Arabidopsis thaliana: one gene and its partner. The protein of the gene in region 2 interacts with the protein of the main gene of each other region in a pairwise test. Each region holds a gene or a part of one and is shown on either strand. Other genes may lie near its edges.

What was found. Proteins that work in one complex are often made in the same cells at the same time.
Region 1: the proteins of AT1G32360 (region 2) and AT2G04080 interact in a protein complementation assay, tested with the Arabidopsis thaliana proteins (one large-scale study listed by BioGRID).

What each region holds. Positions count from the first base shown.
Region 1 is NC_003071.7:1,354,904-1,362,988, reverse strand, and holds AT2G04080 (MATE efflux family protein), read left to right. Parts: upstream 1-3,585; 5' UTR 3,586-3,829; coding exon 3,830-4,075; intron 4,076-4,163; coding exon 4,164-4,708; intron 4,709-4,802; coding exon 4,803-4,889; intron 4,890-4,969; coding exon 4,970-5,026; intron 5,027-5,102; coding exon 5,103-5,547; coding exon of another isoform or gene 5,548-5,577; exon of another isoform or gene 5,578-5,611; coding exon 5,612-5,662; 3' UTR 5,663-5,833; downstream 5,834-8,085. Other genes in the region: AT2G04090 (MATE efflux family protein), read left to right, coding at 1-203, 292-336; AT2G04070 (MATE efflux family protein), read left to right, coding at 7,199-7,444, 7,532-8,076.
Region 2 is NC_003070.9:11,669,125-11,677,596, reverse strand, and holds AT1G32360 (Zinc finger (CCCH-type) family protein), read right to left. Parts: upstream 4,832-8,472; 5' UTR 4,273-4,831; coding exon 3,408-4,272; intron 2,725-3,407; coding exon 2,435-2,724; 3' UTR 2,210-2,434; downstream 1-2,209. Other genes in the region: TOM2B (tobamovirus multiplication 2B), read right to left, coding at 1-10, 93-158, 452-592; ATL1F (RING/U-box superfamily protein), read right to left, coding at 1,068-2,066.

The sequences.
Region 1 (8,085 bases), on a different chromosome or scaffold from region 2:
TTGCTAGGGGAAGTGGGTGGCAAAATATTGGAGCTTGGGCAAATGTGGTGGCTTACTATCTCCTAGGAGCTCCTGTTGGATTTTTCTTAGGATTTTGGGGTCATATGAACGGCAAAGGGCTATGGATTGGTGTGATCGTTGGGTCCACTGCTCAAGGGATCATACTAGCTATAGTCACTGCTTGCCTGAGTTGGGAGGAGCAGGTCAATAGCAATCTTAAATATATTTTTGGACATTTGATGAATCTTTTTTTTACCCCATACTGAAGTTGTTTACAATTGGAAATTGCAGGCTGCCAAGGCCAGAGAAAGAATAGTTGGAAGAACATTGGAGTGAAAATCACACACTTTTAAACGTAACTGATATAGTTGTACTCCTTCCGTTTAGTATACACGAAATATAGAAGAATACATGGTCACACATGCCAAATATACACGAATAAATGTAAGTTTAAGGTTTTCACACACGTATTAAAAAACAAATAAATTTATTAGCTTAAACTTTGTCAATATATTTTCTATAAAGTTATTGATCAATACATTAAATCCGTGGGATAAAGCTGTAATGTATCAAACAATTGCATTGAAAATATAAAACAATATATATTTTAAAATAAATTTTTTTTTTAAAAATGACACTTAATCTTGTATGCGTTTTATCTTTCTAATGATTAAATATCTATGTATAAGTTTAACATCAAGTAAAAATTTGAGTGACTAATTTATGTTTGATTGGATTTTCCACAGTTTATCTTATAAACTGAACTCTCATATGGCTAAGATATTTTACTTTCTTTCATTTAACAGTTACGGGGCGATTGAATGTTCTTTTAACAAGGTCTGATTTGAACGGACATTAGTTTTGTTTATACAACAATGTGTTTCTCTATATACAGAATATAACTTATATATAGTAAATTGTTTATGTTGATCCCAGTAAAAAAAGATAAAAAGAGAAGAGATGGTGCTACTGAGGAACCAAGAAAGAACTGGAAGTCAACAATCAACTCATACTCATGTGTCTCTCCTTTTTAATGAGAGTGACTAACCAACGATTTAAAATAAATAAAAAGAGTGGTTCAAATGTAAATAATTCAAACTACTAAGACTTGGTGGAATTCATGTGAAGGAGACAAAAGTTCAATCTCATGGAGAAACAGAATTCCATTGAAGAAGAAAAAATGTGAATAACCCTAACTTTTAGAATGCTGACCTAATTAATGCACTTAATCAGCTTCGTAAACAGTTTCTACTTGTGAATTCTTGCCAACTTTTCGAGAACACCAGGATATATAGTTGAGAATAATGCTAGCAAATCGTCTAAAAGTTTCTAGAGTACATATCTAGATTCGTCTTAATAATGCTAAATATTTATCTTCAACAACATTGTTTTCATTTTTCAATACAATAAAGTTGAATTAAAATCATTTTTTTAATCTACTAAGACTGTAATTTAACAATATTTTTAAACATATTGTACTGGTTTAGAGGCGATTTATCTTGTTGGAAAAGAAGTTTGGAAGATTCTGTCTTGAGTTCCATTTCATTAAAACAAAGTCATCACATTTCTGGTATGTGAGACGAAGCTATGGTCCATGATTAACCCTCTATGATAGATTATGATAGATGTAGGGGAGTGATTTAGCACCACTCAGTTAACTCGACTCTAACCTCAATAAACAAAACCTTCGAAATGTTTTGTCGGGCTCGGCACATTTAGCGTGAAAATGAGTTTTTTTTGTGTGAAAATAGATAGATCGAGATTGACTTAACATAAAATGGAAAGATTGACTCGAAAATACTTTCAATATCATCAATATTGAGGAGGAGAAAAGAAAAAAATACCGAAGATAAAAATTTTGGAAGGAAAACATATTCGAAGACCTAGATGGAGAAGTATAAATACAAATGAGCAGTCGCAAAGTGGGGCATCCACAATTCGTCTCTAAAGATCCCTAGACATCCAAATTCACAAGAAAAAAAAAACTAACTTGTTATCAAAGTTAGTTCAATCTCTTTGTAATTGTATCAGTTCGTTCTTGAGCTTAATAAATAAAATTATTTCCGCGACACTACTTCCCTTAATTAAGCTTGCCGGTTTATATGTGCAGATTTGACTCACACAATAGACATTAGACAATATAGTATGTTTTTGAAATATATTTTTTGAGGTTATTTCATGATAAGTAATACTGCAAAATATAAATTTTTCAAACATAAATTTATACATTGAACCTCATATCTATTTGTTTCTATTATTTAATTTATTTTAATGACAATGTGTTCTATACTATATTTAAATTTTAGTAAATAATTTTCTTAAATTATATAATTTTTCAATACTTTCTTAATAAACTTCTAGATGTGAAATAGTTTTATAAAAAAAAAAATACATATTCTGGTTATATTTTTTCATATAGAAAAGAAATGGTGTGATTCATATTTTTTCAAGTTTTCTAAGAAATCAAATAATGAGTAAGTCAACAAATAAAATCTCATATAGTGGCTAAGAACTTGAAGTCATTTAGTGAGAAGGAAACCAATAAAAAAATTTACCTATAAATTAAAGGGCAATTAAATGTAAGAACAGTTTAAATAATTAAAAATTATTAACTAAAGTAATGAATCTATTAATTAATTGAAAATAAATATATGTGAAAGAATATTTGTACAAAAAAGCAAATAAAATATCTAGTAGATATATTTCTGAAATAAGTATTTAGAAATTTAATTTTTTGTTTTACTTGATTTTTCAAAATTTTATACCAAAATACAATTTATTTTAATCTTATAATTTTATTTCTAATCAAGGTGTTCCAATTTCATTTCGCTAAATGTTATAGAACCGATCCCAATACGAACGCGAACCTCACTTATCAGCTCTCAATCTCTCAACTCGAAGTTTGTTTGTGTGAATCAAAGAAGAAACAGAGAACAACACACAAGAATTTGTTACCCAGTTCAATCTAATCTGTGTGATTAGATCTACGTCTGGAGCCAGATAGATCCGGCAATCCACTATATGAGATGTTTACAAACTTCTCTGAGCTCAATACAAGATCAATGAAGAACCCTAATTTTCTGGGTTTAAGAGAGATCGTAACAACTTTCTAACGGAATGAAGAAGAAGAAGATAACAGACTTCTATTTATATGTGTTTGACTTCGAGCATCGAAGCCTCTTTCAGAATGAGAGTCTTCCAATCATAACTTCCTTCTTCTGTAAACCAAAGCGAACCGTTTCAATAACCAACTCCAATCTGCTGTTAAACCGAATGTCATCAGACCAACATTAAACCGGAATTGGATCATATTCATAACATTATATCAAACAAGGAAAAAAAAACTATTCACTATTGTCGGCAATAATTAACTTTTTGAAAAATCGAAACAACAAGGCCACCACGTCTACAAAAATCAGAAACCAATTCATGCACATGATATATGTGTTTAATAAATATAATTTATATGGACCCTCTTAATAATATAATTTATATGGAGCATTTATTATTATGGGTACATCATATCATATCTGTTTTTACCTTAATAAATAGAATAACATTTTTTTCTGTGACACACATTGAAGAGAGAAAACTATTTGTCCCACAGTCAATTACGGGTCTAAAATTTGGTAGTAACAATAATACTTTCATATGCATATCTTAACATGAGAAAAAAATGTTTTCACTGGTCGAGCAGAGTTATATATATATTTAGATATTGACGAAAAGTCTTCATTGACAATAAATTACATTGGTTTCGTCCATCAGTACAAGATTGGATATGATCTAAAAAATCAGAGGCAAATCAATCAAGATTAAGAAGACGACAATGGAAGAGCCATTTCTTCCGAGAGACGAGCAGTTAGTCTCTTGTAAATCCACATGGCAAAGTGGTCAGGTCACCGTCGAGCTGAAGAAAGTGAGCCGCTTGGCCGCTCCTATGGCCACCGTAACCATAGCTCAGTACTTATTGCCTGTCATCTCAGTCATGGTCGCCGGCCACATCGGCGAGTTGGAGCTCGCCGGTGTCGCGCTTGCCACGTCTTTCACAAACGTTTCCGGCTTCAGCATAATGGTAATTATGCTATTACTCTCTCCTCTTCATTTCAAGAACTCAATTAACTTTCCAATATTGAAATATTGCTGCATTCTTTTTTGTGTAGTTTGGGTTAGTTGGTGCATTGGAAACTCTTTGTGGCCAAGCCTATGGAGCAGAACAATACGAAAAAATCGGAACCTATACATACTCTGCAATGGCTTCCAACATACCAATTTGTTTCATCATATCAATTCTATGGATTTACATCGAAAAGCTCTTGATCACTCTCGGGCAAGAGCCTGACATCTCTAGAGTCGCTGGCTCCTACTCATTGTGGCTCGTACCGGCTTTGTTTGCCCATGCTATTTTCTTACCACTGACTCGGTTTCTGCTAGCACAAGGGTTGGTTATTTCCCTGCTATACTCTGCCATGACCACCCTTTTGTTCCATATTGCGGTTTGCTGGACTTTGGTTTTCGCGCTTGGTCTTGGAAGCAATGGAGCTGCTATTGCTATTAGTTTGTCTTTCTGGTTTTACGCTGTGATACTCTCATGTCATGTGAGATTTTTCAGCTCTTGCGAGAAGACTCGCGGATTTGTATCAAATGATTTTATGTCTAGTATCAAGCAGTACTTCCAGTACGGAGTCCCATCCGCTGGATTGATTTGGTAAGTAAACCATTTTCACGTGTCTTGTTGGTTAAGTTACAATACACCGATGCTTCCTCTTATCTTGCTTGCATTTTTTTGTCTTCTTTGATAGCTTAGAATGGTGGCTGTTTGAGCTACTCATACTCTGCTCAGGTCTTCTCCCAAACCCAAAACTCGAGACATCTGTTCTTTCGATTTGGTAAGTATCATATTACTTCTTTTTATCCTATGTGTTCTCTTTACCAAAATGTATTAATCTTATGTCTTTCATGTTATCAGTCTTACAATAGGAACTTTACACTATGTGATTCCATCTGGAGTCGCGGCGGCTGTGAGGTATGATCTCAACTCTCAAACCAGAACAAGTGTTCAACAATTCCTTTCTCAACATTAGTCATTTGGTTTCTTGAAGCACACGAGTGTCAAACAAATTGGGAGCTGGAAATCCTCAAGTTGCTAGGGTTTCCGTATTGGCAGGGCTTTGTCTCTGGCTTGTAGAGTCAGCTTTCTTTAGCACACTTCTCTTCACCTGCCGAAACATCATAGGCTACACATTCAGCAACAGCAAAGAAGTTGTTGACTATGTTGCTGACATATCTCCTTTGCTCTGTCTCTCCTTCATCCTCGACGGATTAACGGCAGTTCTAAATGGAGTGGCTAGGGGATGTGGGTGGCAACACATTGGAGCTTTGATCAACGTGGTGGCTTATTATCTTGTAGGAGCTCCTGTTGGAGTTTACTTAGCTTTCAGTCGTGAGTGGAATGGAAAAGGACTCTGGTGCGGTGTTATGGTTGGATCCGCGGTGCAAGCCACTTTACTGGCTATCGTCACAGCCTCCATGAACTGGAAGGAACAGGTTAGAGTTTGTTACATTCTAGTTTTTTGAATGCTCTGAAGTAACTGGACTCTATTATTTGCAGGCTGAGAAAGCAAGGAAGAGAATAATCTCTACTGAAAATGGATTGGTTTAAATAAAGGTTGTTCCTAAGAGCTATCTCAAAGTATTTGCAAGTCATGTGCAAAAAAACATGTAATGTTATTTTGATGGGTTATAATATTTTTTTGTAAAACTTTTATCCAGGATTTATACATTTTTTCTTGAGTTGATATTTTCGTTAGTTAGAAAAATTATTCGAATTGCACATGCTGAAAGATGATTTATTTATTTTCTTCAAACTTTAATATACAAATGTAACAAGTAAATAAAAACTCATTAGTTCCAAACACCATGGGATTAAAAATGGCCTCAGCTGCAATCAGTCCTATCTTTATAAAAAACAACTATGTGAGTCCTATCCATTATCCCAATAAGTCCACTAAAAATGGCCTGTATGGCACAACCAGATTTAACACTTAGTATTAACTTTAAAATTCACAAAAGAAAATAATCTCTCTTATATATGGTCCAAACATAATAACTTTACACTAATGATCCATAAGAGTTTTCACATACATGTTTCTTGACGTAAATCATTAAAAATATATAGATGAAAAATACTTATAGAAGATTCAAATTCCACATAGTCCACTAATGTTATGTCATTTAATTAGTAGGTTTAGTGGTGAAAACTTAATACGAATTCCTACCTTTTTATCAGCCTCAGCTGCACGTTTGAACTGTCTAGTTGTTATTTAAACCAAAAAAATGTTTTTGTTAATTAAGACATTTTTCCTTTTTAATATAAACTGTTAAAACAAACTGTCTCTTTTTTTTTTGTAACAATGTCATTATCTTTTGTTTAATCTATGATATGATTAGAACTTGATTCCCAAGTAATTATTCGAGTTGCCTTTGTTGTTTAGTCATAGATCATTGGAACGTGATCCCCAAGTGTATTATCATGTATTTCCAAAATGCTGATATTGGACGACTGTTGAGTGTTGACGACGACGTCCACCATTTGTATTTCAAAATGACCGAATTGTCTCTTTTGTTTGTCTTTGTTATTAGGTTATTGTGATATCTGACTTTTATGGAAGTAATAAAAAGTTTAATATACATGACTTTTATAACAGTTTTATAAAACTGTTATAACTTGTGAAGTTGTTAGAAGATTTTGTCATTTGCAAAAAACATGATGTATGTTCCTTTAACAATAAAAAACATGATGTATGTTCACCTTAAAAAAAACTATTGTTTTCCGGAAACTTATTAAGAGAAACTATACAACGTCATTGCTGAAAACTTTGATGTATAAACTTTAGTAATACTTTATACTTTATCATGTAGACTTTTATAATATACTTTTTGAGGATCTTCGTGGAAAATATAGAATTCCACTGGTCGAGCTAAGAGTCATGTAATTTGAATATTCTATTCCCACAATTTCCAAAAAAGAAAAGTCTACGTTGACATTGACATTGGTTTCGTCGTCTGTCTAGTGTCTATAAAAGATGGAAGAATGTCCGCATAAATTATAGACAATTAAAGTACTAGACAAGGCTTTCAACACAAAACAATAACAAACAAAAAATAAGGACAAAAAAAAAATTAACAACCTAAAACAATGGAAGAGCCATTTCTTCCGCAAGATGAGCAGATAGTCCCCTGTAAAGCCACATGGAAAAGTGGTCAGCTCAATGTCGAGCTGAAGAAAGTGAGCCGCTTGGCTGTTCCTATGGCCACCGTGACCATTGCACAGTACTTATTGCCAGTCATCTCAGTCATGGTCGCTGGCCACAACGGCGAGCTCCAGCTCTCCGGTGTCGCTCTTGCTACCTCCTTCACAAATGTCTCCGGTTTCAGCATTATGGTAATTATGTTATGACTACTCTCTCCTCTTATGTTCAAAATCAAGTTGACTCTGAAATCTTGATAAATACTTCAATTCTTTGTGCAGTTTGGGTTAGTGGGTTCACTAGAAACTCTTTCTGGCCAAGCTTATGGAGCCAAACAATACGAAAAAATGGGAACCTATACATACTCCGCAATTTCCTCTAACATCCCTATATGTGTCCTCATATCAATTCTCTGGATATACATGGAAAAACTCTTGATCTCTCTCGGACAAGACCCTGACATCTCCAGAGTCGCTGGCTCCTACGCCTTGCGGCTCATACCGACTTTGTTTGCCCATGCGATTGTCTTACCACTGACCCGGTTTCTGCTAGCACAAGGGTTGGTTCTTCCACTGCTTTACTTTGCCCTGACCACCCTTTTGTTCCACATTGCGGTTTGCTGGACTTTGGTTTCCGCACTTGGTTTGGGAAGCAATGGAGCTGCCTTGGCTATTAGTGTGTCTTTCTGGTTTTTCGCTATGACACTCTCATGTTATGTGAGATTCTCCAGCTCTTGCGAGAAGACTCGCCGATTTGTATCCCAAGATTTCTTGTCTTCTGTCAAGCAGTTCTTCCGTTATGGAGTCCCATCAGCGGCAATGCTTTGGTAAGTCTA
Region 2 (8,472 bases):
GCGCCAACGCCTTAACAAAATGTAAAAAAAAATGCTTAAGACACACAGTACTTACTTATGTCATCATACATTCTACACCATAACATACATACCTGTCCAGTGGCCTTAGTCAGTGAAGCTTTCGCCAACAGATTCTTCGGGAGCTTTGCCAACTGAGCCTACACACAGCGAATACTCATAATTAGAGATTAAAAAAAAAACATCTAAAGCTCATCCTAATAACCTCACATTGTGTTTCATTGTGGTCTTATTACATGAAACAGGAGGAGATAACTAGTTTCCAATGAAATAGGACAACTACGAAACTGTTGCACCTATGTTTGAAACAATTCACCAAATCCACATTTTCTATCATCAGAATCAAACCAAACCCTAATTATTCAACCTAGATCCTATTTAATCCAACGGTGACTAAATGAGCACGCGTTAAAAGGGTTTGAAGAAGATATACCTGAGAAGAAGACGATTGACGCATCAGATGAAGAAGGTTAGCAGTGGAATTTACGGCTTGTGAAATCTGATCGGCGACGACAGCTTTCGCCGTTCGATCACCGCCGCTGATTCCTCTTGAATTTTCCGATGCCGTCGCCATTTCTCTCTCCAAGTTTGGTTGGTTCTCTTTTTTTAACAAATGGTAAAATATAGGTCTTACATTGTAATATTATAAACTCTTAGTCGTTCCCCTATTCTATTGATTTATATCACGTTATTCCCAATATTTCTATTTCTATCAAATTGACACCTCCCATATCAAACCGGAACGATAAAATGCAACTTAATTTTTTATGTTATATATATAAGACATATATTTAAAAATATTTTTAGAATTTTATGAAGTCCACAAATGAAAAAAGGAAAGTATGATTGGTACTGAATAATGAGAATTTAAGTACAAACATTACAACAATCTTCAACATCTTCTATATGTATAACTATAACCTATAGTGTCAAAAAATTACAAAAATGGAACGGCCGAAACAAAGAATATATCAAAACCTAGAATCTAATTCCGGTCTTGGATCTATTATAGATGATATATCAACCAAGACAATTCACATTCTCAGGCTCTATCCTACAGAGTAAGTTCCCCTAACGCAATACAACTTTCTGTTTGGTAAAGTCATCTTGTGATCTTCAAACTGACATTCTCCAGAGATCTCAATACGTATCTTAATCTCATCTTTTTCTTCTTCTTCTTCTTCTTCTTGTTCGTTTTCGGTCTTAACTACTATAGAGTGTCCAGTAGAATGTGACCTCCAAAACCGCAAATTCGATGCTTTCATTCGTCTTTCATAGCTTTCGATTTCATCTGTATGCTCTAAACTACCAATAGTAGTACTAGGATGCTCCTCGTGAACGATGATTGTCACTGTGTCACGGGGCAAAGGCTCGTCGTGGATTTCAGATCTAACTAGATCGATTTCAGGAACTTCTAGCGGCTTTTCTAGCGATGTCCGGTCTTCTACATCAAGCTCACGCCTGCATACAGGGCAAGTCTTGTGTCCTTCAAACCAAAGATCAATGCAAATCGTGTGGAAGGAGTGATTACAAGTAGAAATGAGCCTAATAGTGTCATCATCCATAAACTCTGTTAAACAAATGGAACATTGATCCGTCCCATGATCTTTCACCGAATAAGGATACTCAGGGAATGATTCAATGATCTTGGAGTCGAGACCGAGGTTTTCAGGTGGATTAGACGGTTGGATTAGGTTACTAGGACGGTTTCGGTTTCGATGGTTATTCCAAATCCTCATGAGTTTCCTAAATAAACATCCACAGAAGAAGAAGGAGAAGAACCCCGTGAAAATGATGAAGAGAAGACTACCGGTCAAGACTATGGTGACCGGGGAGGAAACGAGGGTATGGACTGGTTTGAAATTGTCTGTCTCGGTCGTGGATATAGACATTTTGAGACCGTGCAGTGAAACGGCCGGATCAGAAATATTGTGACTGGTTTCATAGGTAGCTTGAGGAAGAAGAAAGGGTTTATTCTGAGGTTGCCGTGTGGGAAGGGTAATGTCAATGGGGAAGAGAGAAATGAGGAGAAAGGTAAGGTCATACATATGCCAAAGCTTTTAGAGTTTTGAGCGAGTCTTTGGTGACAAAAGCTACGTGTTATCTTCGTGGCCAATTAATTTGCTCTAATCTAATTCTACATTCTAGTTTTACGGTGATCGATCTTCTAGTTATGATTAAAAAAAATTGTGGCTTTATAATCAAATTATGAAATTTTTAAAAAATCAAATATGGAAAAGATACAAAAGAAAGATGATAATATAACATAAGTCATAATCTACAACAACAAACAACAACAACAACAGATACAAGGATTACACATATACAAACTCTACAAAATGTACCATGCAAAAAAAGGGAGATTGTAATTTTCTTAGCAGTTATCTAAATGTGTAGAAAAAAGAAAGAGGTAACATCATTCAATATCGTCGATCCAATCACCGTATATCCGACTGATTTTCGCCGGTCCTTTCCACTTCTGATGAGTTCTAATTCCAGGCTTTTGTGTAACCGCACTAGACGCTCGTTGCAATGCAACTCCAGTGTGGTAACTGGCATCTGCATTATGAGGTACTCCTGGAGATAGAAGTGTTGTTGTGTCTGATAGTCCTTTGGGGTTTTGTACTGTTTGCTTTGTGTCCGGATTGGGTGATACTCCATCTTTGCCTTCTTCTTCCACGAGTCCTCCGCCAAATCTATGTAACTCTGCAAATCATAAAGACTCAAAACTTTAAAGCTACACGACTACGGAACTTTCTAAGGTCATATCGTTCAACAATTCTAAGAAATTGTTTCCCATAAGAAACTATCAAAGATTCAACATTTTTCACAAATGTAAGACAGATTATCTATCAAAATTTTGAGAATTCGAGAAACCTATAACTCTATCCTAAGATTCAACAACTCGTCAGATTCATTACAATACCAGACCAAAAATGAATGTTTATCAGTACTCCTGCGGCGAGCTCAACTGATATAAGCACTCAATCCATTAGTTAGTCTCCTATATAACCTTTAGTACCATTCTCACTAGTCTAACCATGAAGCACCGTTGACTAAAACTTCTAACAAATAACCTAACAGACTAAATGGTAACCACAGACCAACAAAAACCCAAAGATAGCGGTGTCATAAGATACAGAACCCGACAGGGTCAGCGAATAAGCGAATAACCATTTTACTCAGCTTGGAGCTTCAGCGTCCAATCTCTAGTCACCTTTAACCCATTCATCAAGCAACATTGGTTTAAAGTTTAAACTAACATACGAGAAGTCACTAAAAACTTGGCTAACCACTAGAGACCTATGAACTCAATCCCGTCCTTATCTTCAGGCCTAACCATTCCATTCATAAAGCAAACGAAATCGAACAAAAGGCAGAATCTTTACCTGCAGCTCCATGAGCAAAATGACACTTAGCACCAAATGGACAATACCCAGTAATCTCCCATTTGTTGCAAATCCTTGTCTTCCAATTTGAAGGCTTCAAAATCTGAATCCCACTTCCACTTCCACTTCCACCACCACCACCAAGCACTACTACATTGCTACTACTACCACCACCACCAACAGAACCACCGCCACTTCCACCACCACCACCACTTCCATAACCACCAGGTCCTAAGCTAATAGCAACACTCTCTCTATTCCTCGAAGCCTCATCATGCAGAAACGTACAACTTTCTCCATAAGGACATCCTTCTTCAGTATAAAACTTCTTACAATGTCTTCCTTTAAAAGATCTCCCACTCTCAGCCGTCGATGACACCAAAGACGGGATCTGAAACTCCTCCCGTGGAATCTCAACCACAGAAACTGTAGGAGTTCCCATACCACCAGATCTCTCCTCCTCATGAGCCGCCACAATCTCCTGCCAATTCGGCGGTGGACGACGAAGCTCCTCCACCGTATGAGCAAAGTTACAATTCGTTATATACGGACAAGTCCCAGCACGAAACTTGCAACAAAGCTTCGTCTTGAAGAACATTTTCCCAATCGCTTTAGTACGATTGCTCGCAGCAGAAGTAGTCGTGGCTGATGAAGACGACGGAGAGCCTCGAGTCTTCTTGTTCGGTGGACCATTGTTGTCGCCGGAGGTGTTATCGGGATTCATAGCCCAAGCTCTATTGTAATCATCTTCCGTCGCCCAAACAGCACTATCGCCGAGATTCGGAAACCAATTATCCGGCGGAGGATTGTTTGTGGGAATCACGTGAACTACATCTCCGCCGGAATCTCGCCGGTGATGACTCATCGTGTGAAAAATCGAAGCTTTTCCTCAAACCCTAATTTTTTCTTTCTTTCTCCAATTTCGATTTTGTGAATTTTTACCAAGAATCACGGAAAAGCTGAGAGATTTCGTGAATTCGAGAGATGGGTGATCTTGAAAACAATCAAATTCATCGATTAACGACAAATTTTGTGAAACCCAAGAAAAAAAGTTTTAAAAATTGAAAACGATAACTGAAAAATGAATATGAACAAAAACACAGATGATGATGATGATGATGATGAAGAATGTATACAAATGTAGTATTAGTCACTGAGAAATCGTCGTTGAGATTGAAAGATCATGTTCGGGAGAAAAAAAATCGAACAAGAATATTCTTTCTAAGCTTGAAAGTGAGAAATAAAAAGGAGGAAACGTGTGTGGAGATAGGATAAGATCTTTATTAAGACAATAATTTATTTGAAACTCAGCAGCAGACATGTAACTAAATTTGGTAATAATAATCTTTGTAAGAAAGTGAATATGAAAGACACTGTAATAAAAAGATTTGAGAATTTTGGAATCAGAAAGCTTTAAATTTTCTTACAGTGTATTAAATGATCACTCGGCATCTATATGATGAAATGAGTGTTGCTCATTAATAGATATGGTCATATGGATGTGATTTTTTTTTCCTTGAAAAATTTTCCAAGCCTCCAAACATTTATTTCGTATATACAAAACAATACACACCTAACACAGTAACACACATGCACCATACTATGATAATACTACTACAACTCTACAAGAAGTAAAAAATGGTAAACCTTTTTTCAAAAAGATAAAATGGTAAAGTTAATTGTTGTATTATTAAAAAAAACTCAAAGAAACTCTAGTAATTACTACTACTGTTGGAGTGAATTATGTTTTTGACTCAAAAATAGAAAAGAATTATTGAAGTTATTATATAGGTGACCAAAGGTTTTTAAGTTAGTAAAAAGTTGTAACTTTGGCGCCCGGCTCTTGTAGCGCACTGGTCTGCGATGGTACATTAATGTGCAACGTGTGATTAGTTCGAAGCTCGAGCTGGGCGAAAAGAGAAAAGAGAGAGCCAGTGAAAGCATAGCAGCAGCAGAGGTCTTGTTGTTATATAAAGATAAACATTTAAGGTATTTTTAAATATCTTTTTATGAATTTTTTTTAGTAGCTATCATCATGCTTTCAAGTAAATTTTATGAATTTTTTTTTGGTTTTAAGAAACCTGCTAACATTATTTTAGCAGACAACCTAAGAAATCTAGAATTTAGAACATTTTTCTTTTAAAATTTTCACGAAAATATACAATATTTGTGTTTATATACTTTTATTTTTATTTTTTAACACCATAATCATATAAAAATTAACTAGCGATAATACTTGTTTTCTTCATTATATACTTCTTAGTTTAGCATCAAATTTCATTTCGACAGTATTATTTATTGTTTCATTTTGAGTAAATATAAATTTTCAGTCTGTATTCTTGATCATACTCCATGCATAATGATATTATCTGTTGATCATTCACTTATTTACTCTATGAACATTTAGCTAATTTTGGTTTATTTGAAGCCAACTAATCCCCTTTTTTTTCCTTGGCAAAACGCCAAAAAATGTTTTATTCTATAACTAAGTTTGCTGGATTTGACGAATCAACTTTAAATTAGCTATGTGCTGCAGAGACAGCGCCAAGCTCTTGTAGCTCTCCTGGCCAGCGAAGGCACATTAATGTGCAACGCTTGGTAGGTTCGATGCTCGAGCAAGGCATGGAAGAGACAGAGAGAGAAGTTGATCATGATCATTTCACATGTGAGATATTCTAAAATATCTTTTTCTTTTCTTTTCTTTTTTTTGTGTAGATGGAGAAAAATACTAAACGTGTGGACATTGGATAAGATCTTTAATTCTTTATTAGGAAAACAATTTTGTAGCTGAGAAGCAGACAATAATAACTAAAATTGGTAATATATCTTTAACAAAAACAAAGTAATAAAATAAAGAAGATAGTTTATAAACATTACATATAAAGAAAGGAGATAGTTTATAGATTCGTCATTGGAGAATTGAAATCTTAAAACTTCTAAATTTTTAAATGCATTCAATTCAATGGATATGGATAGGATTTAATATTGCTTTTCTTGTCACTTTTCCTAAATTCCTTGACAAAAATGTTCAGATTCATCTAATTTAGCAATTGAGGCACCTGGCTTTTGTAGCCCGTTGGTCTACGATTGCACATTAGTGCGCAACGTGATGACGAAGCTTGATCAAAGCAGATAGAGAACAAGGTAACAACAGAGAATATTATGTGTTCTAAGAGCAACCTTAATGGTTAGATCCAAAATTTGGGACTTAAGTATAACGTTTTTTTTTAATGCTTTGTGTTATAACTTATAACGATGAACATTAGATTTATTCCTAAGTATCTTTTGTTCTCAGCATCATTAAATATAATCATATGTTATGTACTTATGTTAAACGTTTCTTTCCAGTACACTAGTTTATTATACATATAAATTGTCTTTATTCAGATATATGTTACTTTATCTTGTATTGTTAGTTTAGTGTTAAAAGATGAGATTGTGGTGCCTAACTCTTGTAGCTCTATCGGTCAGCGAAGGCACATGTTAGTGCAACGCTTGATCGGTTCGAGAGTCGAGAACGGCATTAAAGACAGAGAGATAGAACAAGCAAAAACAAAGAAAATGTATGTGAACAAAAACCATATGAGATATTCTAAAATATCTCCTTTTTTTGGTATTTTATATAAACAACTTCGTAATATGAACAGTTAACAATTCAAAAACTAGACATGGACTTTTTACTTTTTGTGGTTCACAAATATTTACCACTGATTAAAAATTAAAAACCACATACTCAACGTTCAAGATCTCTGGATTCTTCGGGATGATTTCAAATTAACATTAAAAATTGAAATATTAACGTAATACGAATACAAGGACTTTACTTCTTAGGTGCTAGTATATGGACATCGCCAAATATTTGTATTTGCTCAATTAACGTAATCTACTAGTGCGATTTATGAGTCACTTATCTTTACAAAAATATTAAAGAAATAGATGAACAAATCTATATATACATTTTTACAGCTATTTTAGCAAATAAATCATGAACTTGGACTTATTTACAATCTAATGTCATTAGCATTAAATCTTTTTTTAAAAATAATTAATTTTATTTTAAATTTTTGATTTAAATTGTCAATCACATTATCAATCAAATTTAATCCCACCAAACTTCAAATCAATCCTTTAAAATTAGCATAAACATATTTGCTAACAATATTTTAAAACAAATTTTTTTGTTAAATAAATATTATTTTTACTGAACGTTTTTTGTTTAAATAAATAAATTTTGTATTTGAACTTATTTAATATGTCATGTCACTGACATTAATTATTTATTAATGAAAATATTTAATTAAAGATTTAAATCTTCTAAATCCTTGCTTTTAGAGTTATTATGTCATTACCTTATAAGCAAAAATATTAATTTTTTTAAATATTATTATTTATATATTTAAAATTTATAAAACATTATTAATATTTAAACTTATAAAAAGTTCGATATATTACAATTTTTTAACATCATTATATAATATATAGAATTTTAAAAAAATCTTAATTTTTTCCGTCATATTTTATAATTCAAAATTTTAAAAATAAACATATATTAACAAATTAGCAAAAAATGTGTGGGTTCAACGTCCCGCATCGACAAAAATATTTAGACAATGATTTATAAACATATCATAAATAAGATCAACATTAATATAAATAAATAGTTTTTTTACGGGACGGGTTTGGCGGGACGGGTTTGGCAGGACGTTACTTAATAACAATTGTAAACTATAAAATAAAAATATATTATATATAGATTCAATTTGCAAAAAAAAAATTATACTAACTTTAAAAAGTTAAATTGTCACCGCGGTATACCGCGGGATAAAATCTAGTACAACATAATTTCAGAAAAATATACAATAGTCCTTTTCTATCTCAACATCTTTTTTGGATCAAAACCAAAACAAACTTAAAACAACTTATCATTTTTTAACACAGTAGCAATTCATTCTTTCTTTCTATCTTTCTTTTTTTTTTTTTTTTGTGTGTGTGTGTGTGTGTTTGAGTGGTAAAAGTAGCAATTCATTCTGATTCGAGAGAACCACATTTTTTTCTATATTATAAA